Linked DNA regions of Styela clava. The protein of the gene in region 2 purifies or fractionates together with the protein of the main gene of each other region. This does not show direct contact. Links are inferred from orthologs where the notes say so. Each region holds a gene or a part of one and is shown on either strand. Other genes may lie near its edges. The genes, in order: ubiquitin carboxyl-terminal hydrolase 10-like; phosphatidylinositol 3,4,5-trisphosphate 3-phosphatase and dual-specificity protein phosphatase PTEN-like; Parkinson disease protein 7 homolog; OTU domain-containing protein 3-like.

Region 1 (8,026 bases), on a different chromosome or scaffold from region 2:
TGGTCCAGAATGTTTTGAAAGATACGTTGGAATACTACTTTTTAATTTATTTTTTGTCTGGAGAGATCGTGAGCTACCCCCGCGAGAGAATAGGATTCACGTGTTTTTAGCTATTTATCAGCCAAACTAGCTCAACTAATTAATTTGGCTATTTCCGCTGTCAAATTTTTATATTGACATTTTTAATATTACATAGTAATTATGAAAAAATATATCAACACAGCACATAACAAAAAGCAACTAGGTGCCCAGTTTTGAATCATACAGTGGAATGAATTGGGGTCCTTATTAACGGCACATGGACTTTTGGCACGGGTATAAATTCTGACTGTTTGTCGTCAAGGACGAGTGTCATTTAGTCCGTCGACATCGATAAACTAAATTCCGACACAATTATCCATCTACGCAGGTATTAATTTTAATTTTGTTTAACTACACAATTACTTTATAGATATATTGACATGACCGCCTAGCCCCAGACTGTCTCAAAATATATGATAGCAATTGTAAAATATTATAAAATAGTAAAGTAAAAAAACATCCTCGACGGTTATAGGTAGGCCTTCTTCTTGTCGGTGCTGATTGATATTCTTCCATGTTGGCTTTGACTTATTGCGTCGACGATTACGATTAGCCACGAAATAAAATATTTGTGAAATGCTTTTAATTTGAACGTAGGCGCTAGAATGTGTGGGTGATATTCGATATTCTTTTAAACACGAATAACGATATTCGAAGGCCGCGATATTATTAACATTAAATTCAAATTGGACATTCCGGGTTATGAGTTTTCTAATTGAACACCGAGATTACTAGCGTTACTGTACAATGTATCTTAATCAGTTAAAGCAAACACCAAACATTAACTTCATATTATGTGATATATCTTTTTTTCGATCTGAAATAATGTGTACTATGACCAACGCTCGAAGACCGTTGTTTTAACCCGTCTGCCCTATACAGCACACCTAATTAAGTAATAATTACATAGTATCGGTATCGGAATATCGGCCTTTTTGTAGTATCGGCGTATCGGTATCGGCGTTTTTTGCTGGTATCGGATCGGTATCGGTGACAAAAGTGGTATCGGTACTTCTCTACATCCAATTACATTGTAATATCAATAAAATAGATCACACAACAAAATCAAATTACAAAACTTTGGAAAACATCTCTTCAAATTTTGTCTTACATTACTCTAATATTTTTTATTTTAAATAAGCTCTATTTTAAATAACTCTCAAGTAATGTAGCCAAAATGTAGACCAAAACATGAGTATAATACTATTAATGAAATATCTAATAAAAATACTTTATTTCCATAATGAAATTATGAATTTTCGCACGAATTGAACCCCCTCAAATATGGTTTTTTGCTTCATTCAAATATTCAATTTATTGCGAAATCTCTGGGTCTACATTATTTTATTTCAATTAAAAAAAAAATAAGATCAAGAAAACGTTCACTTACGTGTTACATAATTGCATGAATTCGGAAACTGAAAAAATATTTCAATTTTGATTAGATTGATGTATGCCAATATATATATGCCACCCAATGAGCAAGAAATAAGCCTTAAATGTGAATACCACACTTTATACATTCTTCATACCATACAACTGAATTAGGGTATTTTGTTTCAATACCAAGATTCTTATCAACAGTGAGACCTAATATGAATAAGTTATTGTGATCCACTTGTGTAGAATAGATTTATAAGAAGATACACAATGTACAAGATTCTTTTTCAGATTCTCAAATATAATACGAAGCTTCAATCAATATTACTGCCGGTATATCATAATGTAAAATATGTTGTCTGTTGAAATAGAAAACGAGAATAAAAAAATACCTCCACGCATCCAGGTTGTATTAAATAACAATTATGTTCTTCCTCTGTGAAATCCCCAAAACTGAACTAAAAATACAATTTGCACAATTCAAAACTTCGATGATACTATAATCAAAGAAACACCCATGTCAATATTAATAGATAGGTGAAATAAGTTTGGATTGTTAAATTGCGACTTACTTTATTAACTTGCAACAAACTGAATGCAGTCGAAACCATAGAATAGGATAGAGTTATAGAGATACCGTAATTTAAGGGCCATACAACACACTTTAAATCTTTTTTTTTCTTAAAAATTGATCATGAATTTTATCAGCCAATGCGCCTAATGTATGGATCATGGATATTAAAACCTGTAGTGCCTCATAGTCTGATGTGCCTTATGTATGAAAAAGTACCCAATCTAAGCAATTTATAGACAGTGCGCTTTATGATCTGTAAGATACGGACACAAACTCGATAATTATTTTCATACAAGAGCAAAAGTTTAAGCGACATACTTCTATCAAATGTTTTGCATTTGTGAATACTGTTTATACGACTGTCGCGTGGGATAAAAAAATTTCCCAAAAGAATTTTGTTTCAGATATTAAAAAAATTTTTGTCAATGACTTGTAAAACATTCAGACATCGAATCCAGCTTAGACTCTGATAACAAATACTGATGACAAAAATTATGGAGTCAACAAACCAGCTTTATTTAATAGACTGTTTTGAATGCTTAGTAGAGTCAATACATTTTGAGTTAAAAGACTTCACTCATTTTATCACCATTGAAAGTCTGAAATTGTAACTCAGACTCACTCCAAATACCAGGGAATTCATAATTTTGATGAGTTAGAGAATGCGACTCTGGCTCAGACTTCAGAGAGAACATGTTAACCTTCGACCTCTTGACTCCAAAGGCCTGACTGTTGCAGTCACAGTCAATAGAGTACATCACAAATTCATGAACAATAAAACTATTATACAATTGCGGGTTACGTTCATGAAGGACAATTTATGGTAATTTTCAAATTAAAATATATAAATTCAACTTACTCGAGGTGCTGATGCCATGATCGGCAAGCTTGTGACAAATATTCTTTGAAACAATTTCCGTACACCAAATATCTATCTATTCCCTTTACTCATTGTATCACAAAAATAATATCTACAGAAGCTATTATTTCTAAGAGAGAGACAAGATTAACAAGATATAACACGTTCCATAATTCAGATCTCATGTAGAACATTGAATGATAGTCAGAAAGATAGAATACCAATTTCTATAATCCTCAAAAGAGTTTGATAGTATAGAAAACGAAGACCTTTCTCCTGGGTACAAAGCATGTCCATATTGGTCGTATTTATGATATTTGAAACAATACAGTAATTTTACGTATAATTGTATGACAATGCAATAATACACAAAAGACAATATCTCAGGATTGATAATCTCAAAAAAAAAATGGCCGAGGTAAAGATGTGTGCACTGTGAGAGCAAAAATGTTCTTGAAATTCAGGTAACAGAATACGATATATATTTTATCAACACTTTATCAGTAAAACTTAATTTGTGCAAAAACAGTTTGAGGCATATTATGAAACAAAGATTCTGAATTAAAATGAATGGCAAATATATAAATATATATCCAATATGCACCATTCTAAAATTTTTTTTTTTAGGAATACACATCTCAGGTTTAAATCCCATCCCTCTATAGGTGGTGAAATAAATTGTGTAGGCTATGTCGAACTGGGAGGATACCAGTACGATATAAAAATAACTCCTTACAAATCTTCAGATATCAGGGGCCTTATTTAGAGAAAAGGGAATGAAGACGCATCGTTTAAAAGATACCTCATTTTTTTGTTAGTCACAACTAAAATTGAATCCATCTCTCCACTTTAATAAATACTTGCATGGTACAATTATTTTCAGTCAAAAATTCTCTATTGTAAACGGTGAATACATTCATTACCACAGTAAGTAGTACAAATTTCACAAAAATATTTTTGCACATGCAGCATGCATAGTTATGAACTTATGATTTTGTCTGAGCAGAAAAAAGAACAATCTTTACAGCTTACAATGCAATAAATATAGTATGAACAATGAATGCGAACGGGCAGTGATGACTATCAGTCAGTCAGAAAGAAACCGGTAGACAATTTGAATTGCTTGGTCTAATGCTCATCCATGGTAGACGTTTGTCAACACTTGTGATACTGAGGTCTTTTTATAGCGCTCCAGAAGTTTGTGTACCAATATGGGGTAACTAGTTTTGTTTGCCTACTTTACATCATGTTGTGTAAATGGACTTAAACCTATGGGCAGGGAGTATATTCACTTGGCCAACACAGACAGTCCCCAAACTCGTAATAGAACTAAAATAAGGTAAATAGGAATAAAATTACAGCCTAACCCTAACCAGGCGCACACTAACGGCAGTACCCTTTTTATTACAAGCAAATATTAATAAATTGGGTACTCCGGAAGTATGCGTTTCAAGATGGCGGACACCGGAATGTAGTATGTGTACCAGGTTAGGAATAGGCCATAATTCCAGATAAAATTTTTCTTTATTTAAGTTCTATTAGGAGTTCGAGGACTAGAAATCATGGCCTAACCCCAACCTGCTACATATACTACGTTCCGGTGTCCTCCATCTTGATTCACATACTTCAGGAGTACCATATTGTAGGCGTAGCAAATGCTGGATATGGCAAACATGTGAGATTATACGCTTATAATGGCACCAGGAGCAATAATTTAAAATTGGGTTCAGCCCCAGAGAAAACACGAATCTAATGAATACTAAATACTAATAAATTACATAAATATATGTTGTATGACATTGCAATGTTGGATTTTACTAAACATACTCAGTATGAAAATCACACAACAACAGCATCGGGTTTCCAACCTTTAATACAGGAGGGCCAGATGGAAATAACTGGGCCGCACCTTTATTCAATATAGGTTTTCTAGTAGTTGGAGGCTTTTGGTTATTGATCTTGTGACATGCGTTGATCGTCCCCCCCCCCCAGGGTAGAGAATTCCACCTAAATAAGTTCGCCATCAAAATTAAATATGACATCTTTTATCGATTGCGCAAAAGGTGAAGTATAGGATATTTATTTCATCGCAATTTACGGGAGATTTTTTTGGCTACTCAGAATAGAAGCTCTTTTTTATAGATTTATGACTGGCACAGTGATACAGGGTTAGAACAACATAGATTCTTTCTACAATCATTTACCAATATTCAACATATGATTGCACAATATTCTCATATTATACATAAATAATCCAAGCAGACACAGATAAAGAAGCTAAAGCATTAGTAGAAGTGGTAAATAGCTATCAGCAGCTGACAATTTATTTCATCCTTTCTATTTTACGACAGACGGACATCAGCAGGTGCAAAATTTGCGAAAAATGTTCAGAATTTATATGTTAAATATAGCAAATTATTAGGAATTGAGCTTTCCAATATGATAAATCAGTTGCAAATATTACAAATTAAACTATTTAATTGAAATAGCTATGATTTATATTATGGCTTTATGCCTAATATATTGCAGTAAATTAAAATGATACAAATCAAATAATATGATTTGAAGGACGAATAACCGGTTGAAAAATGTTAAAAAACGATCTTGAATATCTGAATACTTGAACAAGGATAATTTTGGAAAAGGACGGAGAAAAGTTTTCGAACAACATCAGTAGCATGATTGCTTTTTTTTGTGTAAAAAAGATGGGAAATTAAATTAGCTGATTCAATCTCAGAACTAGTTGTAACTTGGACATGCTTTTTCATGTGTTAGCCAGTTATGTTGTGGTTAGGTTATGATGATTGACTTCAATTTATCTGCATGGAGCAAAAATCCTGCTGACACAACTAACACTTTTACAGCATTAAAAATACAATGGCATGATGTAATTGCAAGTAAACTAAACAACACAGATTTAGTCGAATAGAATTATGACTGTCACTACCAACAACATCAAATATTTTATTCTTTACAACAGGGGTGTGCAACATACGTGCGGACTCAGAGTAGTGCCAATTTTAAATCGTGTACGACCTGCGAAACAAGTTTTTGATTCAGTTTAACAGTTTTTTTTTAGAAATTTATGCATCTCAATTAACTCATCATTTCTGCAATGCATAAGATCCATAACAGAAATAAAAAAATATTTGTGCCTGCAACTATCAGAACGCCTCTGTTAAAAAGGTGCGGCTCGTGGTTTCACCCAGTTATTTGTATCTGGCCTTTCTGTATTAAAAAAGATTGCACACTCCTGCGTCCTGCTTTACAAGACCATATTCCACAAATATATACCCCATAGCACCCTCTGATAATATATGATATAGTCACCTTCTACAATACCCAGAACCTATTTCAAAACACACAAATATATATATTACCACTATTGCATCTATTTGCTATACAGAACAGTAGAAAATAAAACGACTGCTGTACCTATAGTAAAAAATGGACCTGGATGAAATTCATTGAACATAAAATACGAAACTGCACTTGATATAACGATAGAAAGTGAAGCAGCAAAACTTTTAACAATATTGTCTGCATATTTGATAACATTAGAGACAAGGAGACCGCCAACAGCATGTAATATTACAACGAACCATGTTAAATGATCGTATCCTTGAAAAATTCCATCTTTTCTAATCTCTTCATAATTAGTAAAATACGCTGTAAGTCCACCAAAAATGGTGCCAAATAACGCCATTTGCACGTTTCTTATCCATAGACTTTGATTCGAACGCTTTAAAAGTTTTTCGAAGTAAACACCAGCGAAACCGCTACTGATACACGAACAAAAAATAGCAAATAAACCATACCAACGATAGGCAGGATCTTTTTCTTCAGAATTTTCAGGTGGGATTTGAACTAAAGCCACTCCCCCCATCAACAAAACCAAAGAAATCCATTTCAATCTGTTTAAACTTCGACCAAGCAAAAGAACAGAAAATATTGCACTGCTTAAAATCTTCAGTTGATATGTCACTTGATATGTGGGAGCGTCCAGATACGATAATGCTATAAATAATAAGTTATTCTGTATAGCATACATACCAGAAGGTATGGCAATTTTAAAAGTTTCAATTGGTCGACCGATGACTTCTCTTAATATTTCATCCACGGTAAATCGTAACGAATATCCTTTTGATTTCAAAATCATTAAAATACAGCATAATAGTTTCACCACCTCTGCTATAACCACAACAGTACTGTTAAGAAATCGTGGCCCTTCGACAGGTCTGGTTCTGGAGTAACGTAACGTCAAAACGAGAGTTGTTGTCTGTATGACGAGTAATACAAGTGCAATCAGCTTTTTTGAATTCATTTTTTTTTACTATGATTAACTAGAATAGTGATTCAAATATAAAATAATATTACCAATACTTTATGCATCTGTGCAGTCTGTGTGTTATGGACAGATAAACAAAACGCCAACTGTTCAGTGAAATGAAATCAGGATTACATTTAATTTGATACAACATTCATTATTACAAAAGGAGGGAAATATTTCAATTTGTTAAGCAAACAGCTACAAGGTAGTGAACTCAACATAACTGAAGTTCTTGAAAGAAAAACTTTTGGCATACATAGAATTTATTGTCTGGTAGGTACACAGACTGTTACCGAATTCAAGTTTACAGTCAACCAAGTTTGATGGCTGAAAACTTTCATGCTCGCAACACATTTTGACAGAAAATTTTCGTTGTCACATTGCAAAAATAAAAACCTAATGATTGTGATGTTTATCTATAATTAGGACTGGGAATTTTAAGGAAAAAACTCCAACTGTTAACTGGGTAAAATTAATTACGTCACTATAATATACGGTAATAGGGCCCTTCAAACTATACGAACTGTCATCCAAGACATGCAGACAATAACCCAAAATCGACAAGCTACTTCTCTAGTTTTCTCGTCGAAATGATCCCGATATGAGAGAGATCGCTGCCATGAGCTGCTCTTTATCGTTGGCGCATACCAGGCGATCGTATGTATAGACTACTTTGGCAAGCTCTATGACGTGATTGTGACGTTTTAATTATGTAATTTTTGGATGGCGTGGTCAGGTGAGGGATAGGATTGACATGTGCAAAATCGTTTTTGTAACGACTTTTCGACCCACAGACTTTCCC
Region 2 (7,912 bases):
CAATGAAGACCCAATATTTTATATAAATCCAACCCTATTAAAATGTTTCAAACTTTCCTTATATTTTGAAAGATTGCTATTTTAATTATCCTGGTGACTGAAATATCACAGATCAATTTCAAATTTTTTAAACAGACTCTATTAATAAAGAATATTAGGATACAAATATCTGTAACCAACAGCTGAGTATTTTTTATACTCCTTTGGCTCTGAACAAGGCTCTACACAATCACTCACTGCTACATAAGGAGTTATAGTTTGGAATTGCAGACCCAATTTATTACGCCTCGGGTGAGGTGGCGAATGAATATGAATGCAGTGGGCCACCATTTCTACAAGAAATACAGCTACTATTTATTGTTGAGATTACAGTAAAATTGGGTGCAAAATTTAAATATTGAGCTATGTTTACATCTTTATTTTAACAACAATTTTTCGCAACTTGAATTTTTCCAATAATTTTCCAACATAGTATATTTTTGGGATATTCAATATTTTAAAATAGTTTTAAACCGATATTTTTTTAAAAGCTATCTAAATCAATTAATATTTATAAGTAAGATTAAGGAAAACTGGCTGCAAGATTTAAATATTGAGCTATGTTTACATCTTTATTTCAATAACAATTCTTTCTCAACTTGAAGAATTTTTCCAATAATTTTTATCATGGTGAATTTTTAGAATATTCAATATTTCAAAATAGTTTTAAACCAAATTTTTTTTAAAAAGCTATCTAAATCAATTAAAGAGATTTACCTCTTTTGTGAAACTTTTCAGTATCGTATGTCCTTTCAGAACATCTGTAAATAAAAAAAAAATATGATATTTATACAATATATACATGTGAATATATTATGACCATTAAAATGTACTTACAAATTATAAACTTTATAGTGGCCGGGATGCTTCGACTCAAGAAATCTGAAAAAAAACAAAGAACGATATTACAGAGTAAAATACAACACAGTTTTTCACTTCTCATATTAGAATATGATGATTTACATCTACACATTAAGTCTTCAGATTATTTCTTATGATCCTAAGTTTAAAGCTACTCATGTATGAATGAATTTCATGGTTGATTTTTTGGTATGTACATTTATTCACCTCTTATTAATAATGAAAGTAGCTATATATTTCATTTTAATGTTAATCACTCACTAAACAAACTTCAGATTAAAATTGACAGAATAATTTGTAAAAAAAGCATAAATTTCAAGAAAAAGCATAAAAATTTCAAAAATATCAGTTGTACCATACCAATGGAGTTCATTATATCAGGTTGATAATAAGCATACACCGTTGATAAATGTAACATCAAAGCAAACTTATCCCCAGCTACTGCTTCATAATGGCCCAAAAAAGGATTGGAAATTCTAATTTTCAAGGCAATACTGCAACCACATGGCTGCATGTCCATAACAAAATTGAGCTCAAATAACAATCAAGTTTTAAATTTTTTGCAACACAACATACAATGTCATGCAAAAATCAGCCAATATATATATACCGGGACTCATAAAAATTTGAAAATCAGTCTTTTTCTTCTGCAATCAATCAATGAATTAAACCGAATTTCGTTTTTCAAATGTTACTTACTTGACTACATCATCAATATTATTCCTGTACAATCCTTCAACTCTTTCTGCTGGGAATCCCATCGCAAGAATATTTGGACAGATATCTGAATGAGAACAAAAAAAAAACATAGTAATTTTTCTGCCAGTTTTCCGAATGCCTTAACTTGAATACTATGAACCAGTATATCAGTCTATCATATCAGGGACATAATATATTGACCCTACGGCTTTAGTTCAGTGGAATTTGAGATTTTATTTTGCTTAATTTAGACTTCATGAAAGAACCGAGTCAAAAATCATCTTGCTTATAATTTTTGTTCTGCAGTCATTTCGTAAGCATTATTGTGCTGTTATATAGCATTTATGATTCAACACATTCAAGACATTATATCTACCGTAATAAAGTTACCATCAAATCTCAAATGTGATAATGAAAGTGAAAGTTTTAAACATCTGCTGAAAACATTATTGAAAAATATTCAAACAATGATCAATATTAAAAAAATACATTTTATGTGCAATACCATAATCGTTCACTGCTACCTGGTAATCCTACTCTCTCTACATTCCCAAATATAGGAAATAAAAATATAATTTAGTTTGCCAACACTGACAGGACAGTCATTATTTTGATAATAAACCAAAATACTCTTCTTGAATTCATATTAAAAATTTAGTACAACCCATATTTTTGCATATACCTGTATCTGTATGTAACAATTTCACTGCTACACTGAATGCTGACAATTACAGTATTTTTGGTTTTAGCAAAGATTCCCAATGTGACAGAGTAAAGCATGGCACACAGCAACTAAATAATTCCTAGCCCTTGCTATATATATGTATTGGAGATTCTTTTTGTTTTACCTTAGAAACTTTAGCAATAGCAGTTTTCATCATCTCTTTAAAGGCTATCAGAATATTTAAAAATAAAACTACCATATCATAAGGCGCACTGTCAATAAATTGCTTAGATTGGGTTTTTATTCATACGAAAGGTGCATTGGGTGTTACTGGTTTTGAGTGTAGGCTATAAGGAACTACCTGATTCAAACACGAGGCGTTCCAGCTTGACAATTTATTTTTGACGGAACGAAATATTCAAAGCGTATCTTATGCTCCATAAAATACTGAAATGAATTAGTCATGCAAATTTGATATAAATAACTTGGTATATTACATGCATAATTTTTTTGGCACGTTATCATCAGATTTGGCCTATATTCGAATATGAAATCTATCAACTTACATGTGAGATCCAGATCGAATCCTCCTTCCTTATATCTTCGTTTCTTCTTACTGACCATAGATTTTATTGTGTTTGCCATCCTGATGCTGAATAATATCCACGGTTATCCGATAAGGTATAATTCCTGAGTTAAAATTACTACGGTATTTCTATTAACAATCCTTTTATTAATAACTATCTATTACACTGTGACAATAAAATAGAGAAAAAAACATGAAAACTTGAATTAGTTATACAGGGTGCTCAAAGAGTCATAAATGAAATTAGATAAAAGGACTTTAAGGTGCTTTGTTCAATTAACGGTGAGTATATTATTTATATGTGTATTAAATGTAGTAAAAAAAACTATTTAAATAAAACAAACCTGGTCAAGATATATCAAGAATCAATTTATAACAAAATTTGGATCCAACAGAAATATAAACTTTATACATACCATTAGATTAGACGAATCAAAATCATTCCATTCACTTTTTTTTATAAATTTTTAAATTCTTATTCCAATAAAATTCATAGTTAACCTAATTTCGTCGTGGATATGAAATTGAAAATGAATCTACTTTGCGTCTTTGGTATATACGAAGTTCATAATAGACAAAAAATTATTGAAGCATGACATTGACAGCATTGAAACTTTCGTTTTAGATTATCTCGCCAGTCACACTTCACTGATTATTAGTGGTAGATTACAATTGCTACCATATTTGCAAGACCCTGTGTGAAATTACATGTAATTTCAGAAATAGGATAAAAATTAAAAACCACACTAAAAAGTATTCAATTATGTATTAAAAACTTAAACAAATTGAAAAAATCAAGACTTTTACATTTCTACACTGCCATCAGTCAAATTTGTACTTTTCAGAAATTGAAATAACAAACCTGATACCACGCAATGTATAAATGATCAAATTACATTCATCATTAGCTCGGTTTTAAACGTTCAAATATAATTGCTATTTTAAAAGACAATATCGTTCCATATCATTTTTTTTAAAAGCAATCCACTGGACGCACCCTGATGTACAATGCTTTATAACAGGTATTTATAGCCTCCTAAATTTACTTCCTTGTTCTATCTCTCTCTGTTGGTATAATTAAGTATTTGCAGTAAAAAATTAACACTGTGACACTACAGCATAGATCAGTATGATTTACTTTATTTGGTTCAATGAACTCTATGACCTCATGCAACCCACACTATGACTGGTTGCATAATATTTCACATATTCGAGAAGGAACCTTGTCCGATAATATGCATAAATATTCACATACATATATATATAGATTATGTCAGTCAAGTGACAATAAATAGACTTGGATGTATATTCTTGCTAAGTCTATTACTTAGCCACACTAGTTTAACTACACATGTTTAAAATGTTCACTTAAGTCATAGAACCGATAGATGCATAACTGTCCTTAAGATCTAACCTGCTGTCAAAGTGGCAGCCCAATATGCTCTCTACGGGAGAGGGAGGCCATTCGAATGGTGATTGGAACCATATAACCATCCCTACCTCTAACCTAAGTGTTGGTAATAGGTATGGGCACGGTCAACCAGGTATTTTTTATTTAACTGATCTCTGATAGTTAGTTACAACGAATTATGACAGTTTAATATACATTCACTTCAAAAAATCGCTAGACTTTATCCTCTGTGGCCTTCAATTTGAAAAGAATACCAATCCTAATTGTTAAACACCAAGGAAAAGCTAAACTGGAGATGTTTTATTTGATTTAAAGCAACAATGGATAACCAGTCAATTTTGTTTGATAAGAGAACAAAGAATATTAACTAAAATTATCAGCCCAAGTGGGAATGACTATTAACTATCCTAGGAGTTTTCTATTTTCTCACCAAGAACAAATTAACATACTATGGAATCCAATTTACTTTCAAGCAACATGCTATAATCCTATCATCTTTCCAAATGGATTTATAAGCATAATATCGATTTTGAATACATCACATTATAAAGCAATGGTATAATATAAATTTTAAAGCAGGTATATGCTATATAACTATAAAATTATCACTTTAAGTATTCGGTATGAAACATTGATTACTACAAAATTATAAAATTCAAATACTGATAATAACCCATAAGATAATCAAGATTATCATATATCACCACATACGGGTACTTCATTCAAATAGCATATACTGCAAATTCATTTCTCCTGAATCAAACCATCCTTCATACAATTTGTCATAAATCATGATTCTGTTGCACAGGGGGTGATAAAAATAAAAATCCCCAATTTCACAATTTGAAATTCTTCAAAAAGCATCAAAATATCAAGAATTGAAATTCGTTCAGACAAAATTCCTCCAATGGCTTGGCATCCACACAACAAAATTGCGTATTCAGAAATATCCTATTTATAAAACAACCATGGAGTATTAAATGTAGATATACAACCATTACATATGTATCAATGAATAACGTCATAGATCAATAATTGAGTATTTAAATAGACATGCCATCGCATGACAGTTTATTTCTATAGAAAGAATGAACGACCTTTCTTACAAAAGTGAAAAACGATTAACAAAAATATTATATCGATACATCACATGTAATATAAATAACCTTAGTTTCTATAACCAAAAGGTAAATAGGGTGTATTTGACTAAACTTGATTATGCAGTACGTTTTTAATGATCTTTGATATAAAAACCAAATCTCTTGTGAATGTCATAATAGAAAGCTTCCATTGTTGCACTCCTAATAAATAACAAAAGTTATGAATTGTGCATAGCTATAATGCCTTATCAAAAAATAATCTAATTTCCAAGCTGTTTATTCCCAACACAGCTGCTGAAAGATCCTCATTGATGATTTGAATTACCTAGTTTTTGCAAGTAATCACAGTGTATTTATTTGCTCACTTTAACTAGAAGTAGATAAGATGAATCGAATACTCAGCTTGAATCGATCGTAAAAAATGACAAAAAATTTTTTCAAAAAATACTTATTACAGAGAATATCTGAAATTAAGTAATACTAGAATCTATTTGGAATTGATTGTATTCGTTATTATTTAATTGGGAAAATTTAGAATAGTTGAAATTTAGAGCAACTGAAATCATGCTGCAAAAATAAATTTTTGAATAGAGAGAACCAATCACATAATTTTTCATCTTACTTAATTGTATTAAAAAATTTAACATCACTCCTTATAAGTTATATATCAACTTATATGTGTTATTTGATGAACATAAACTAATTTAGAATATCCAATATTATACAGTGTATTCAGAATAGTATATTAATCGGTTTTCGCCATCATAGCTTGTTTTTAAGCTAGAAGTACAAGTTTATTGAGACATTGATACAAATGAGTTGAATGTAGTTTTTGATTATTCTCTTATTTTGTGTTATACACATCCTCTGTATACCATAACGCAGAAATAAAATTGATTGCTCGTGATAATGGAGGAATTGAATCAATTTGCTCAAATTATTTACAAATTCAAAACGCCCACTTCACACCCAGCCTCAGCGAGCTTTTTTTCAATTTATTTACCTTACTCGAAATAATCCAAATGTAAATATTCACTTGCTATAAAATAAATAACTGGAACTAAACTAAATAAAAATATTCATAATTTCTTTTTAAATATTTCTTCAAGGAATAACTATCTAAATACTACTGATAGGACTTCTATACCCTTAACAAGAGCACAATACAAGAACTTGATATTTTCCATTTTCCACTTTTCAATCTCGAAATCATCTTCAATCAAATATGCTCAGTTTTTTATATCGAATTAGTGCATTCATTATTACTTAAAAATAAGGCCAACCACAACATCTCATCATAATTATACCAATGCCTGGTCAGGTATGGGATCGACATAGCATTCTGGTTTATCATTCCAGATTATTTGATTAATGATTTGATTAAAACAGTATGTTACAGTTCTCTGATTCCAAGAATAGCCCCGACGTTAAAATACATCAAATATAACAGTGGAGTGCAAACCCTCCCATTACAATACAGTCTGAGCCTCCATATTGGCAAACTGGGACAAGTCATGAACTAAAAGGAAACGCAATCTAAAACATCACCATTGGATTCCTCTGAAAATAATAATCCGATTTACAGTAGAAAAAGAAATTTTGCCATATTTCATAGCATTTGAGAGTTTTTAGCAAATAAACGCAATTTTGGTCATATGACGGCCGACGCACATCACAATTAATTTAAATTATTACCATGACTAGCTTGGCGTGATCAGAGAAAAATAGCATGTTTGTTTTATTGAGGCAAATGTCGAAACATCTTGGAATCGGAAGCTTGCAGGAATGTTTTTTTGAACCTTGGCTGCTTGTGGTCAAGCAGCTGGTTCGGTCTCTGAGGTCCACTACAGATTTACGACACCACTTTTCACTATGTGTTTACATTCATTTTATCTCTTCCATTGTATTTCATCTAAGTACTAGAGTACAATATACAAATATATACAGTGAGTATCGAGATATTCCAGTATTCACATATTACTGAATTTGAATTACGGTACAGGAACATTTTTCTGTTTTTACAGGCACCAGCCTAAAAGTAAATACCAGTTATTGAGGAAATATCGGTACCGATACAATTCAAAACTCACATAATTATGTCCACCATATTCCTGTGCTCCAAGTGCTTTAATTTTATTTTTCCGATGTTGTAGATACTGAGATAGATAGATTACATACATACAACAGTCAGACAGTACAACAAATAGACACTATTTTTTTGTTTTTGGTGAAGACTGCAGGGAGCAATACGACCTGATGACAATATCACTGTATGATCATCCAAGTGTGACGTGGCAGTGTGGCTCATCGTGTTAAACGTTAGAAATACGCCCGCCACCGCACCTCTGATTACTGTGCGTGGATTCGCAGGTTCAAATCCCATGCAGGGATGGTTATGTGAAAGACGATTGCTGGACTCCTCGCCGTCGCAGGGTGGTTCACCTAACCACTGGACAATTACGGCTTCCTGGACCATCAAGTCAGTACAGCACACTATACAGATCAAGCGACATTGTCTCGTTTCAAAGAAACCCATTTTACAGATGAGCAGA
Region 3 (6,698 bases), on a different chromosome or scaffold from region 2:
TTGCAAATTTATTGCTCTCTGGGCTGCTCTGAGACTGTCCACACTTTTCCCAAATCTAAATACTGAAAAAAATGTATATTTTTTTTTTATTCAGTAAATTGAGCTTTGGTAATGTGAGATCTGTGTCTGTTGCCAGAATTATTAAAATATAAACTCACATTTTCTGGACGTGCTCATTAATTTTTCCAGCTCTATGAGCATGTTGACTGCATTTTCCTTATTGCCATTTCTCAGTAGATACCATACAAGAAATTTGCTGCCATATTGCGTGACTCTATAAAACATGTTGTATTCAATTACAAGAAATCCCAATTTCTGCACATTTACCTAAAAACAGTCTTGAGAAAAAACAATCAATTACCTATATAATTTGTCTCGACCAGCCGTCTTGTTGCAAAAAGCTAGGAAGTCATCCATTTGAACTTGACCTGATTTATTTTAAAGCTATAGCTCTGGAAATGAAAAAAAGCATTTCTGTCAAAACATCCCAGAATCACATATGTAAAAGGAGTGAATTATGAGGAATACATACTATACAGAAATATATAGTATAAAATACCAGTGGACAGAGGTCGACAATGCTAGGCGCAAAACTGATTTTACTTTTCACTTTACAAGAAAACTCTGCTTGATAAAGTTATTTCACAGGGTGTTTTCACTTTGTGCATGAAATGTTTCAACATAATGGGATTTGGAATCTACCAATCAAAATTACACTATAAAGACCAATGATATGAATGATAAACAAGGGGGCCATGAGTGTTTAAAGTCGGGACGGGCAAGGGGCCACGAGCCATAGCATGTTGGGAATCACTGGTCAAGGCAACATGAAAATATAAACCCAATAAGCGCAGTTAATTGCCATGCAGTCAATGATCTTCCGTATTTTGGGCAATTGAATTGCGTAACTTAGAGACAACTATCAAAAATGAATAAATCAAGCTCAAACAGGGCAAAGATGATGTTTGATGTTATCTAACAGTGAATGATATAAATATAGTCGGTGGGCAAGTTATGGCAAAACCATCGGTCCGGAAATCTTGTCTCGGACTTCCTTTCCCTTCAACATTTCAACTAGCTCTAAAGCAAATTCAAATGATGTTCCTGGACCACGACTTGTGATCAGCTTGTTGTCCTTGACAACCCTTGCCTCAGAATAGATGTACCCTGAAATACAGTTAGAAACTATGTTAGTTTAAAAGCTATGTAACAGATGAACTAATATACAAAAATATGATTCCTCACAAATCTAGCACGCACTCTCTCAGTATAGAATATTGATCTCTGAGCAAAGTCAAGGGCGGGCAAGCACTAAAAAGCCATAAACTACTGGGACTGTAAATTATAGCGTAGAAGTGCGCGTTAACAAAATCCAATTGACACAAGAGTGGATATTGCGACGCAGATTATAAGTATTTTTATGAAGACGAACCTTCTAATTTGTCCTTTAAGGATGGATGAGATGTGATATTGCTCCCTGGTTTTATGTTATGAGATTTGAGAGCTATAGGAGCAGCACATATTGCGCCGATTAAGTTTGTATGTTGAATCTGCATCTCCAGGAGCTTCTTTACGCCATCTGACTGTACAGAAACAATTTTATGAGTCAAATGATGGTTAAAACATCTTGGGTGATCGTGGTATACTGTAGCATCTTTACCTCAAGACCCAAGAATTATTGACATATCTACTAAATTTAGTCAGCGAACAATATTTTCTAATAAATATCTATAGTAGGTAAGTCAAATATATAAGATTTTACAATATTGTCTCGATATTTTTGTATTTAAGCGATTGCCCTACATAGAATATTAAAAATTCAAAACAATTTTAAGCAACCAGCTACCTCTGCGAGTGTGGTCGCACCCTTTAAACCACCAGGCATTACAACTGCATCATACGGGGCAGCATCTATGGCTGTTTGGAGATCAACATCTGGAATTATGCAAACCCCTCGACTACACATAATTTTATCTGATGCGTCAACGCCAGCAACAGTCACTTCAATCTGCATATAAAAAATTAAGAGTATAGATGTGTATGGAATAATTATTTGTCAATACCGCTTATTGGTATTTATTTTAATGTCATTGATGAATATTATTTGGTCACAAAAAACTTTTTGTTTGTTACATCAGTAAGTTCTGTCGTTATAAATTATTTCAATTTTGCTTTAATACCGGTATAGTTTATAAAAAAGCTTAAAACTTGTTGTATATCATAATTCACTTGAATCCTAGCGTTTCTAAACTAGTGAAATAGAGCCAGGTTGTATAAAAAAAAGGAAAACAATTCTGAATTTTCACAAACCTCTGCTCGACGCATCACATCAATGGAAATAACGGCCTCCATCTCTTCTGCGCCATTCGCAAGCAAGACCAGTGCCCTTTTCAAAGAACCACTCATTATAAATTCTTTTTGTCGTTTACTCAATAAGCGAATAATCGTGAAAATAATAACCCGTAGAGCAAGAAAAAGAGCCCTCAACTAGTGCAATTGCATTGAATGAATCCAAACGAAGTCAATGCAGCAATGTTTGAGCTCCACAGCAGGAGTCGAATTTTACACTACCCGGGACTCTGTACTCATATTTGGGTTAGGACAGGAATTTTATTCGCCCAGTAGGAGGGGTAGAAAATACGATAAAATTACTTAATCATATGGTGAGCCATGGTTTTTTGTACTACAGTCCATGTAAAGTATGTAATTAGGCAGCTCATTAGTAGAATAAGATTATCTTTTTACATCGCATGGACTTGACTTCTAAATATTATTCCGAAGTCAGGAGCTCAAGTCGAACTTTTATATTACCGGTATGCCGATTCTGTATTCCAGACTTCAATCAATCAATTTTATTTCGGTCGCTCTGGTATAAAACAAAACAATAACAAACGAACAAACACAGAGGACCTGGAGGACGGGCATAACTTGAAGAAAAGTTAAAAACGTGAAAATACGCGCCCGTCCACCAAAAACAGTCAAATAACACAATAAAACAAAAATACACGATACAGAATCGGGCAATAACTTCAAATGAATAAATTTGTGAATAACAGTGACAACAATGAGTTTATTTTGAAGAGGGGTCATACAGATAAGTAAACATCGTTTTTATATGTAACAAGAAAATGAAGTGATTGTAGGAATAACACTGCAAATGGTAAAGGAAAATTGTGATTAGAATAAACAGGTCGTTTGAATGATGACTTTGTTCGAACATTAAATGACTGATGAAAATTGTTGAAAGAGGTGCTTTTGGGTGTTGATCAACTAAAAAAATAGTGCTGTGATGGTGTGGTGTTTATAATAAACTATATTAAAATCTTAGGCGAACTGGAAAGCTATTCAGTGCCTTCCAGTGGATCAATCAATCATTTATTCGTCGTCACAAAAACATCAAATGCAAAAAAAATTGGTACAATAAATAAATATAATAATAATGATATTTGTGCGACAGGAGTCGCGAGGGACCATATTAGGTCTTCAAGCAGCGACACCTAAAGCGCTGTTACTGGTTCAGTGTAAAAAAAATAACTACATTTGCTACAAACATTGACTATGCAATAGTCGTTGTGATGAACATATTTTGAATCATTGAAAAAATTCGCAGCAAACGCAACTTTACTAAAATCATGTAATAGAGAAAAAAAAAGAAAAACAACTCAACTATAAATTCATAAAAAAGGCATATTTGAATAAATGTATATAAGTTACATAAAAGACAAACGACAAGCGAGGGGAAAATGGTTAGACCAAAGACAAAATTGTAAGAGATTAATTGAATAGGAGTTGGTAAGCTCTAATAAATCATAAAACGTTGATATGTATATATATATACAATACGCTCCACAGTAAGTGGGCATAAAATTTACGAAAGAATGGTAGGCATATGCTTGCTCAATAAATTAAAATATAACGAATTTTGGCATTTTAGTGTAGAGGTTGCACCAAGTTTGGTAAAGTTAAAGTACCGGGTACTTTAGAAATAGACTCCTTACACCTATAGTTCCTCCGGCTTTTTGGGCAGCCATGGCGACGGTCTACAAATGCGACTACTGGGCTATGGACAGAAGATGGCGAATCATACTGAATACTCCAATCAATGGCTGATGGAAGAGAGATAATAACTAATATATTTACTTTTTAGATATAATTTGAAACCGTAATAGCCTAAAGATTTAATGGTACTTGGTAAGGCATTCCACAGTTTCACACCCGTGTATTTTATGGATTTCTGTGTCCTGCTTGATGAATATCTTGGGACATAATATGAACTTGACAAAGCTGATCTAGTAGAGTATGAATGGATATTACTCTGCATTCTGAAAATTCCCGCGAATGCCATGGGAAGCTTGTTATCGAAGTACTGGTGCATGAGTTTCAGTATCTCAAATTCATGGATATGACCAAGCTTAATAATTCGACACCTGTGGTACAAAGGATCTAGTCTAGATCGGAAAGGTGCACTACATATGGCTCTAATTGCTTTGTTTTGCAAAACTTCTAATCTGGGGAGTAGAGTCGATGACGCACTACCCCAAGTTATAATGCCATACTGCAGATACGACTGGAAAAGAGAAAAATAAACCAATCGGAGAGCTGGCATGGTGAGGAATTTTCTTAGTTTAAATAATAAACCTGTTGCACTTGACAACTTTCCAGCAATGTAATTAATGTGTGATGTCCATTTCAATTGGTCATCAATGTGGATACCTAGGTATTTGTATGAGTTGACATTTTCAAGTGGAACCTTGTCAATATTAATTTGAAGCCGAATTTTATTTTTTTCATTTATCCTGGGACTAATTAATAAGCATTTTGATTTTTCAATATTTATGGTGAGTTTATTTATGGTCATCCAGGTTGCAATTTTTTGCATTTCAGAATTCATCCGCAATTCCAAGTCGTTTGGCGAAGCTGAACTTCCAAACAAACCGGTATCGTCAGCGAAGAGTTTGACAAGTAATTTAGTGGCATGAGGAAGGTCATTGACAAATAGAATAAACATTATCGGTCCAATGATCGATCCTTGTGGAATTCCGCATTGTACACTAGAGAGTTTGGAGCAATTCGAACCAAATTTAACACATTGCTGACGTGAACTCAAATAGCTCCTGAAAAAAGTCAACGCGTGACCGCGAATACCATCCTTGGATCGTTGTTTAATGTTAAAGAGTCATCTGAACATAGAAGAATGAAGCACCTGAACTGGGGCCACGGTTTGAATATAATGTGAGATGGAGCCAATATGACTTCTGAATATAATTCGAAGAGTCAAGTGAAAATTATAAGTTATTGTTGACGATCACAAACTATTATTAAGTATCGAAAATTTCCTCCTCCCAATCGGCAAATCATAAAGAAAGTTGCCACTTATCCAATATGACAAAAGTGGCTTTAGAGATAACAAAATCGTATAAATTGATTCAGTAGTTTGCATATATGATGGCTCTTGAATTTTATTTACGTTTGAACACTATCTCTAGTAATATATTCAATTATACTGTAGTATTTGTCAAAATCATGCGGAACTCACCGACTATGACGGTCGTCCCGTAAATAAAAATCTTTTTAATTAGATGTTAGTAGGCTCGGCGGTGTGGCGCATCGTGCTACGCTTTAGGAATACTCTCGCCACAGCATCTCTGCTTAACCTTCGTGAGATCGCAGGTTTGAATCCCATGCGGGGATGATGTGCGAGAGATTGCTGAACTCCTCGCCGCCGTAGAGTGGTTCACGTAACCGCTGGTCGATTACGGCTCCCTCCACCATCAAGTCCAAGCTTCCGGAAACAAGTAACTGTCTAACCAGTATATATTTACGGTCTAACCGTAGTAGTCCGTAGTCGAAATAAAATCTTATGTTATCTTATCTAGTATATATTTACGGTCAATCAATCAATCAATTTTATTTCGGTCGCTCTGGTATAAAAAAAAACAATAACAAACGAACAAAGACAAAACACAGAGGACCTGGAGGACGGGCATAACTTAAGAAAAGTTAAAAACGTGAAAATACGCGCCCGTCCACCAAAAACAGTCAAATAACACAATAAAACAAAAATACATGATATAGAATCGGGCAATAACTTCAAATGAATAAATTTGTGAATAACAGTGACAACAATGAGTTTATTTTAAAGAGGGGTCATACAGATAAGTAAACATCGTTTTTATGTGTAACAAGAAAATGAAGTGATTGTAGGAATAACACTGCAAATGGTAAAGGAAAATTGTGATTAGAATAAACAGGTCGTTTGAATGATGACTTTATTCGAACATTAAATTACTGATAAAAATTGTTGAAAGAGGTGCTTTTGGGTGTTGATCAACTAAAAAAATAGTGCTGTGATGGTGTGGTGTTTATAATAAACTATGTTAAAATCTTAGGCGAACTGGAAAGCTATTCAGTGCTTTCCAGTGGATCCTTGTTTAATGTTAAAGAGTCATCTGAACATAGAAGAATGAAGCGCCTGAGCTGGGGCCACAGTTTGAATATAATGTGAGATGGAGCCAATATGGTTTCGAACCAGCTCTCCAGCCCTGCTTGCACTGAAGTTGAAATTATCAAGAATTGAAAGAGTCCTATCTTAAGAATAACTATTATAAACATAATCCAATAAGAAAAAATATTTCAAAAGTAATAACAGTGATTGACTGAGTACGAAAGGTTTAACTAATCCCATACTAATCCCTTGG
Region 4 (6,869 bases), on a different chromosome or scaffold from region 2:
CAACTTCCGATCCTGTGAAAATTTTGAATTACAATAGCATATTGCATTCCCTGAAGCTTGCCAAATGAGATGGACAAGGCTCTCTGACATCAGATTGTTCAGGTATTTATTCCAGAATCTGGCACTGACTTCCTTGTTTGTTCCAATGACCGTTTACAGTGGTGTAGCATTTGAATTTTGTGCAACCACTCAGCCAGACACATTTCATGCAAACAACATTGTTTTTGTAGTTTCGGGATTAGTCTAGTCAAATAACTCTTATGGTTAGACTGGCTTAATTCGTTCATCTTGAATGAACTGGCAACCTGACGAGAGGTTATAGTTAATTGGCTTTACTATCATTGGAAAATTAAAAAAAATTAATCCTACAGTCACTGTATCCAGTTTGAAAAACTCTGACTTATTTAACGTATTTAAATTAGGAATTTCTGATACCTGACATCCTGTTACTTCAATAATTCGTTTTATTTTTTGTAGTTCATACTCAGAAACACTGTCTGATCGTTTCTTCACATTCTTTCTTTGCATAAGATTTTCAGTTTCCTTGTATTCCTGGAAAGAATTTTCATTATTTAGATATCCTTTGGCATGGTATTAATCTACCACTCTTTCTATTGAAATTTATATAAAGTCACTTCAGCGTATGGGTGTGTGCCCAAATAATTTAGTCCCATCATGTACAAATTTCTTAAAAACACTCACACCAAGTTTCACATTAGCCGGTCCATTACTGTTGTCATTAATCTTCCTAATACTTGAATAATGATCTCCATTATGATATGCAATATGTAGTTGCCTGGAGTTCGGCTGTTCATTGCCTTTCACCTGCGAATTAAACTATTATCAGAATGGTGCTTATGCATACATTATGGGTAAATAGTATAGTACAACTAACAGTGAACCAATCAATCCACAAGTGTCGGCTCAGGAAAACTGCCTTAAAAGTTCAGAAATCAGTAAAACTGTTCAGTAAAAGTTACCCATTCAATTCCAAATTTAATGACTTCTATATTGTACTTGAAACTATTTTGGATTCACCGTCTATTTTTAAGGCTAAATTGAATTCATTATGATATGATCTTACAGTCCAAATAGGAGCATTAAGTTGATGAATCACCACATTGACATTGTATTTCCTGGCAAATGCAACAATTGCATCATTTCCTGCATATGTTCCAGGGTTTCGTAGATTTTCAACTGCAAAATTTAGAGTAAAAGTATAGGCAAAAAAAAAAAAATTTGGAACATTTTTAATGAGAATTATTCTTTCTGAAAAACACATTATAGATAGCACACCATTTAAAAACACAAAATAGAAACAAATCTATAATATGATTTTGCAGGGAGTTCCAAAACATTTTTACATCAGAGATTAACAGTGAAGCACTACTATGAGCTTTATTGCAAGAAAACAGGAAAAATGTTTGGCTTTTCTATAGCTTTCACACTTCTCTTTAAACCTCCAAATGTTGTCTGTAATTTGGGAATGGCCCATAGACACCGAGGGTAAAATATTCCCAAGAAATAGATTTGCGACTTTAATTAGTGACAACAGTTCAATGAGGCCATTTTCAGATTTGAAGAATAATTTTTGATGGAACTAAACTCTGTAAAGTAAAATAATGAACATCAAATGCATACCATGACGATTGAAAGGGATATCATCTTCCACAAATGGTTCAAAATCACTCCTATGTTCAGTCATGTATTTCACGATTTCTTCTCTATGTCGAAGGTGGTTATCTGAATGACCGTCCATTTGATCACCGAGAGCTCGAAAGAGACAGTTTCTGTAAAGAAATGATTAACAATATAGGATAATAAAAACAGCAAAAAGTATGCACACATTAAAATCATATAAATAATTTTAAAATTTCATTTTATCGTTATTCAACTAATTTCTGGTAAGTATGGCTATGTGCATCTGCCATTCTGTAAATTAACCTTTGCTGTTGAATATCATTGTTGTAGATATGCTTGGTAAATAAGCAAATGTAGACTTCCCTTTTATTACAATTTCTTTCTAAGTAGATTTGTAACTGCATTTTTATCATTTCTTTGAGAGCTGCGGTCTTAGACAATCAGTTATATTACTGTATTATAAACTAGAATTATGAACAAAAATTAAATCATATAGCATACAAATAAACTAACCCATCTCCGGGGATATCTCTCAATTTCAATCCCAAAAGTGCGAGATGATTTGAAAATCCTCCGTAATTCACATCTTCTGATAAATAGGAACTCATTGACTGAAAATTAGAAATAAGTAAACTGTTATCTGGTGGTTGTATATACCAAGTACTGATATACCAATATCTGAATATGAAAGACACAAAGCTGCGAATTTTGGACTGAACCTTTGGTCCTTCAGTCATTAGCAACTTCTAAACTTAAGACAAGAATGTGATTTTTCCGATCAATGTACATTAGTTTTTCAGATAACAAGTCAGTTCGCAGACTTTTTGGGATCATTAACAATATCGTACCAGTACCGGTACCCATTACAGCATTAACTGAATTAAGGTCTCAAAATTCCGAAATTTAATGAACCCGTACAGTACCGGTACGGCACCATACCGGTACCGATAGGGTACCTGTTTATGCTTTCGTATATTCTGTGCTGCTCTTTTAGCGGCTCTGTCCACGTCCGTCTTTGAATTTCTACCTGTTTTTTTCGACATTCTGTCACAAATGATATATAATCCAGTAATCAAGGGCGACAAGGAAACGCAGCCTTGCCAGGAACTGAAACCTGGGTCACAAGACACAACATAAACTCCCCGTTTGATTTGACTCGAGGTGGCGCCTGGGTCTATTAGTATTTTCGAATTTTATTATCGAACATTAAGGTTTATTGTATGGTGTTAAGGTGTATGTTTATTTGCCTCAAAAATGTAACAGTATCTGCATAATAAGTAAACGGTATAAAAGAGACGGGATACATGTTCAAGACATTACTGGCCTACGACACAGATGTGCGACATCACCCCAACAGGTATAACTGCAGTTTAGGACTGCTGCGTCATAGTAGGACAAGAGACATGAAATATACAAATAAAATACACAGGACAAAGAGGTACGGCACCACGGTGATATGTACAATAGGCAGTTTATGTTCACGTTCATGTTCTGATGTGAAGGGATGGGAAAAGGGTATAAATCGCATTTTAGTGTGCTTTACAATAGATTATACGAAACGAATAAAAATTTGTTCGAGACATGAACTTGTCAAAAACCAATGTTGGGTGGGACAACGACACAAAAGGATTAGGTTCTAAAAAGGTAAACAATAAACGACATATGCAGAAATTCTTTGTTTACACTCGAGTCGTTAATCATAAATTGTATGCGACAAAAGAAATGAGAACAATAGAGTCTGGCATAAAATGCGGGTCAATTTCGTAGGCGCTATTGTGTGGATAATATAGTCACCACGCCTGATAAATGATAAATTTAAATTTGTATGAGATGATCTTTTCATTAGCGACGATCCAACGAAGTAACTGTACAAAACTAATAAACCATAAAAATATGCAGGAACTAGAGACAATAGATCAGTGGGTTGCCCGAGACTTGTTTCCTGAGCAATGGGAGTTGGTTCCATCCACGATGACATAGTTTGTCAAACGGATATATTTTTTATCCGCCAGTCTTTTCTCAACTGTTTACATGGTTTACATGACTCTACATTACGACTGCGTATTCCCTCACCGTCACATCCGCACACATTGAAGGATCAACTGGTTTGCTACGCCTATCTGATTTGGCTTAAACCGTAAATATATACTACTACGCTTAAACCCAGATTCAAAGCAGAGAGAGAAAAAGATTCATTTGTTTTGTCAACTGAAAAACACGAGCACAACAAAAAACAATTAAAGGAAGGCGAATATTTTATAGTGCATTAAATAAGTCATTACGGATATTCAGAACTTTGTATCAACAATGCTTAATGTTTCAAAAAATGCATTTATCATAACAATTTTAAGGTTGGGTCATGTAGGCCTAATTACAGCCTAATATATCGACGATATTTTGAAAAGAAGTTTTGGACAGGGCGAAGCAAAAAACCTCCCAACTTCGTGACATTGGCCAATCAGCAAGATGTAAAAAGTGACGTAACAATGCCCCATTTTCGCATCCGCTCAGACACTTTTATCACTCAGACAGATTTCCAAGCGTGGTTGTAAACATTATCTCGTTTTCGCGTTTTCGAACCCTATTCGTTGGTTTTCAGTTGTGTTTCTGAAACTTAAATCAATGATCACTCTGTTTTCCTAGGAGTTTTAATTTAATAATTGCAGTAATAAAAATTAGTGTAGAAATAGCTGTGATAGACTAGCCTAAAATTCTTTACCGGTACTTTTAAAAAACAGCTTGTTGTATGCAATAAATCACAATGATGGTTTGAAACACATATCCCATTTTACAGGCGCCAACTCGCAAAAGCACTCTCAAAATAGCCCCGAAAATTTTGCTACGGTGAAGTATAAGAATTTTCTGGGGGTCAAAGGTCGGGGAAAGCTCCATTACGTACCAATTGAAACTAAGCGGTCGGTCAGGCCTAGGGTTGGTTTATCCGGATAGCGGTTATCCGGATAACCGGTTAACCGAGAGGTATTTTACTATCTGATATCCGGATAATATTGTGACGGTTAACCGGATAATAGAGCAATATAAATAATGTATATGCGCATTAGTAATTTTTATATTTTTTGTTGAGTGGCGTCTTGACATCTCCCAGACTTCAGAGCATATAATAACACCTTCTATTCACACTACTCTGCCCATATTTAGCCACCAATTAGGTTGAAAAGTATTGAATGTGTGGGTGTGAGTTTGTGGCTTTTTGGTCGGGTGTGACTTTTAGTTTATTGCGTGTATTGAAGGAACGCATTTCATGATGGAACAAGCCAGGACTTAATTCCCAATACTTTGTAATCTATGTGATCTGTGTAGCATTTCAAAATTTTCGGTATACGATTGCATGTAATGTGCATGTTTTCAACTTTTTAAATTTTTCTATTGCGCAAAATAACCAATTTGTGGCTGATTCAAGCATTTTAAAATGTCTTTCCATAATAACTCTGTTCAACGTATCTCGCGATTGCGTCGACATACGTTAAAATTAAAGCACTTCTACTATAAAATGCCACCGCTTTCTGCATATATGAAAATACGTAGTAAGCTGCATAAATAATATCAGTTTTTATTCGTATTTTTGCGATATTGCGAATTTGAGCTATTAACAATAGAACTGTGTGGTGGTTTTTGGTCAATTCGCCGTAAAAATCTTGCGAAATCGGATCTTTAAAATTAGAAGTAACTATCCGGTCAACCGGATAGTTAAAATACGGAATACCCGGATATATCCGTTATCCGGATAGTAAAAATTATAGGTATCCGAACTAACCCTAGTCAGGCCCAACGACTAAAATACCGGCCAGGCCCGTATGTTAGTCGCTCGTTATCAAAAGCCGTTTCCGAACTGCGGTCGATTTTTGTTGTTTTTTAAAACTTCATAAGTATTAAACAAAGTCGACTTTATGTAAATAATTTTAGTGGGTAAATTCAGTGAAAGTCTACTTATGACTGATTTACTAATGACCAATATAAGATGCTGCATGTATTTAAATTTGGGACGATTATAAGAAGATTCTTTAACGCCATCAGGAATACCGTTTCAAGCAAATGACAAACTAGAGTTTGTCCTTTCGACAAAATAGGGTCTGCTACCAACCGAACGAGTATTGTATCCAAAAACATCACTACATTTTGTAAAGTAAAAATTTGTATACCTGTAAAAAATGCCAAGCACAGTACATTGGGGAAACCGGAAGAAAATTTAAAGTCTCGTACGTCAGACCACCTTAGGGACATTCGAAAAGGGCCCCCAACACCAGTTACCAACCAATTCAACAGGGAAGGGCACAATATAGACGATTTCAGTGTCCTAGGAATTGACTCACTAACCCACGACGAACTCTACAGGAAAAACAAATTCTGGATTGACAAAATGAAGACTCGGCAACCACAGGGAATCAATAGAAAAGATTAAAATTCAAACGGGGACGTGGCCCAAATGCAAATATAAAACCAAAAGACAAACAGTACTATAAAAAAAAATACAAACAAATAAGGTTCAAAAACAAACAAAGGAAACTACACAAATAGACGAACCACAACCCAACCACATCAGTTAAACCGGCTATTCGAAGATGATACGATAGCAACCATATCCAGTTATAGGAAACTCAATGATAGACTAAATTTATATGATCTTTTATATTTACAGTTATATCTTGTATTGTTTGAAGAAGTTAGACCATGATCTAACGAAAGCTCACAAATATACTTACTATTTCGTTGAAAGAGATCATGTTCTTTTTACTTTTCACTTTAAAACTATCTCGTTCAAGCATCCTTGTGGTGAGTGCCCCATACATACGGAACCGAACTAGGAAGTAATCAAGGAGAAAGGACCTGCAGTTCAATACACAATATCCATTTTCCCCTAGTTTTGTAAAGTAGTTAACATAAACATCTGTTTAAGTTTGCGAATGTTTATTTGTTTGTAAATTGAACAAATTCGCATACAAGTACCAGTCATCAATCACAGGATACGGTTTCGTAGCACAAGTTTTACATGTAGAACACCAGCCGATATTTTTAGATTGCAGACGCGAAGTAGAACAGGGAAATTCGGTACAAAATTTTTAAATTCAGTCATGGCACGCTAGTCTACTTGCAATTTGTTCAATATGAACTTGTCAGTTAGGTTTTTGATATAAGACAGGGTAGGTATGGGCAATATAAAATACCGAATCCGGTGGATTCGAATCCAACGGGATCCGATAACAGGATTC

The links.
Region 1: the proteins of phosphatidylinositol 3,4,5-trisphosphate 3-phosphatase and dual-specificity protein phosphatase PTEN-like (region 2) and ubiquitin carboxyl-terminal hydrolase 10-like purify together in Homo sapiens (affinity purification with western blotting; 4 studies listed by BioGRID, with this or other methods). This does not show direct contact. The link is inferred for Styela clava from reciprocal best matches to the Homo sapiens genes PTEN and USP10.
Region 3: the proteins of phosphatidylinositol 3,4,5-trisphosphate 3-phosphatase and dual-specificity protein phosphatase PTEN-like (region 2) and Parkinson disease protein 7 homolog purify together in Homo sapiens (affinity purification with western blotting; 4 studies listed by BioGRID, with this or other methods). This does not show direct contact. The link is inferred for Styela clava from reciprocal best matches to the Homo sapiens genes PTEN and PARK7.
Region 4: the proteins of phosphatidylinositol 3,4,5-trisphosphate 3-phosphatase and dual-specificity protein phosphatase PTEN-like (region 2) and OTU domain-containing protein 3-like purify together in Homo sapiens (affinity purification with western blotting; 3 studies listed by BioGRID and IntAct, with this or other methods). This does not show direct contact. The link is inferred for Styela clava from reciprocal best matches to the Homo sapiens genes PTEN and OTUD3.

Annotation. Positions count from the first base shown.
Region 1 is NC_135262.1:10,709,753-10,717,778, forward strand, and holds the start of ubiquitin carboxyl-terminal hydrolase 10-like, read right to left. Parts: upstream 3,027-8,026; 5' UTR 2,913-3,026; coding exon 2,895-2,912; intron 1,920-2,894; coding exon 1,854-1,919; intron 1,500-1,853; coding exon 1,472-1,499; intron 1-1,471. Other genes in the region: UDP-N-acetylglucosamine transporter-like, read right to left, coding at 6,286-7,218. UniProt on the Homo sapiens protein: Hydrolase that can remove conjugated ubiquitin from target proteins such as p53/TP53, RPS2/us5, RPS3/us3, RPS10/eS10, BECN1, SNX3 and CFTR.
Region 2 is NC_135260.1:11,756,469-11,764,380, forward strand, and holds the start of phosphatidylinositol 3,4,5-trisphosphate 3-phosphatase and dual-specificity protein phosphatase PTEN-like, read right to left. Parts: upstream 3,022-7,912; 5' UTR 2,909-3,021; coding exon 2,830-2,908; intron 1,685-2,829; coding exon 1,600-1,684; intron 922-1,599; coding exon 877-921; intron 801-876; coding exon 757-800; intron 1-756. UniProt on the Homo sapiens protein: Dual-specificity protein phosphatase, dephosphorylating tyrosine-, serine- and threonine-phosphorylated proteins.
Region 3 is NC_135257.1:17,241,626-17,248,323, forward strand, and holds Parkinson disease protein 7 homolog, read right to left. Parts: upstream 2,521-6,698; 5' UTR 2,407-2,520; coding exon 2,311-2,406; intron 2,009-2,310; coding exon 1,847-2,008; intron 1,584-1,846; coding exon 1,433-1,583; intron 1,168-1,432; coding exon 1,013-1,167; 3' UTR 525-1,012; downstream 1-524. Other genes in the region: peroxisomal membrane protein 11A-like, read right to left, coding at 1-62, 159-274, 362-417. UniProt on the Homo sapiens protein: Multifunctional protein with controversial molecular function which plays an important role in cell protection against oxidative stress and cell death acting as oxidative stress sensor and redox-sensitive chaperone and protease.
Region 4 is NC_135256.1:9,157,295-9,164,163, forward strand, and holds the start of OTU domain-containing protein 3-like, read right to left. Parts: upstream 3,015-6,869; 5' UTR 2,685-3,014; coding exon 2,598-2,684; intron 2,253-2,597; coding exon 2,155-2,252; intron 1,791-2,154; coding exon 1,642-1,790; intron 1,198-1,641; coding exon 1,085-1,197; intron 826-1,084; coding exon 703-825; intron 553-702; coding exon 436-552; intron 13-435; coding exon 1-12.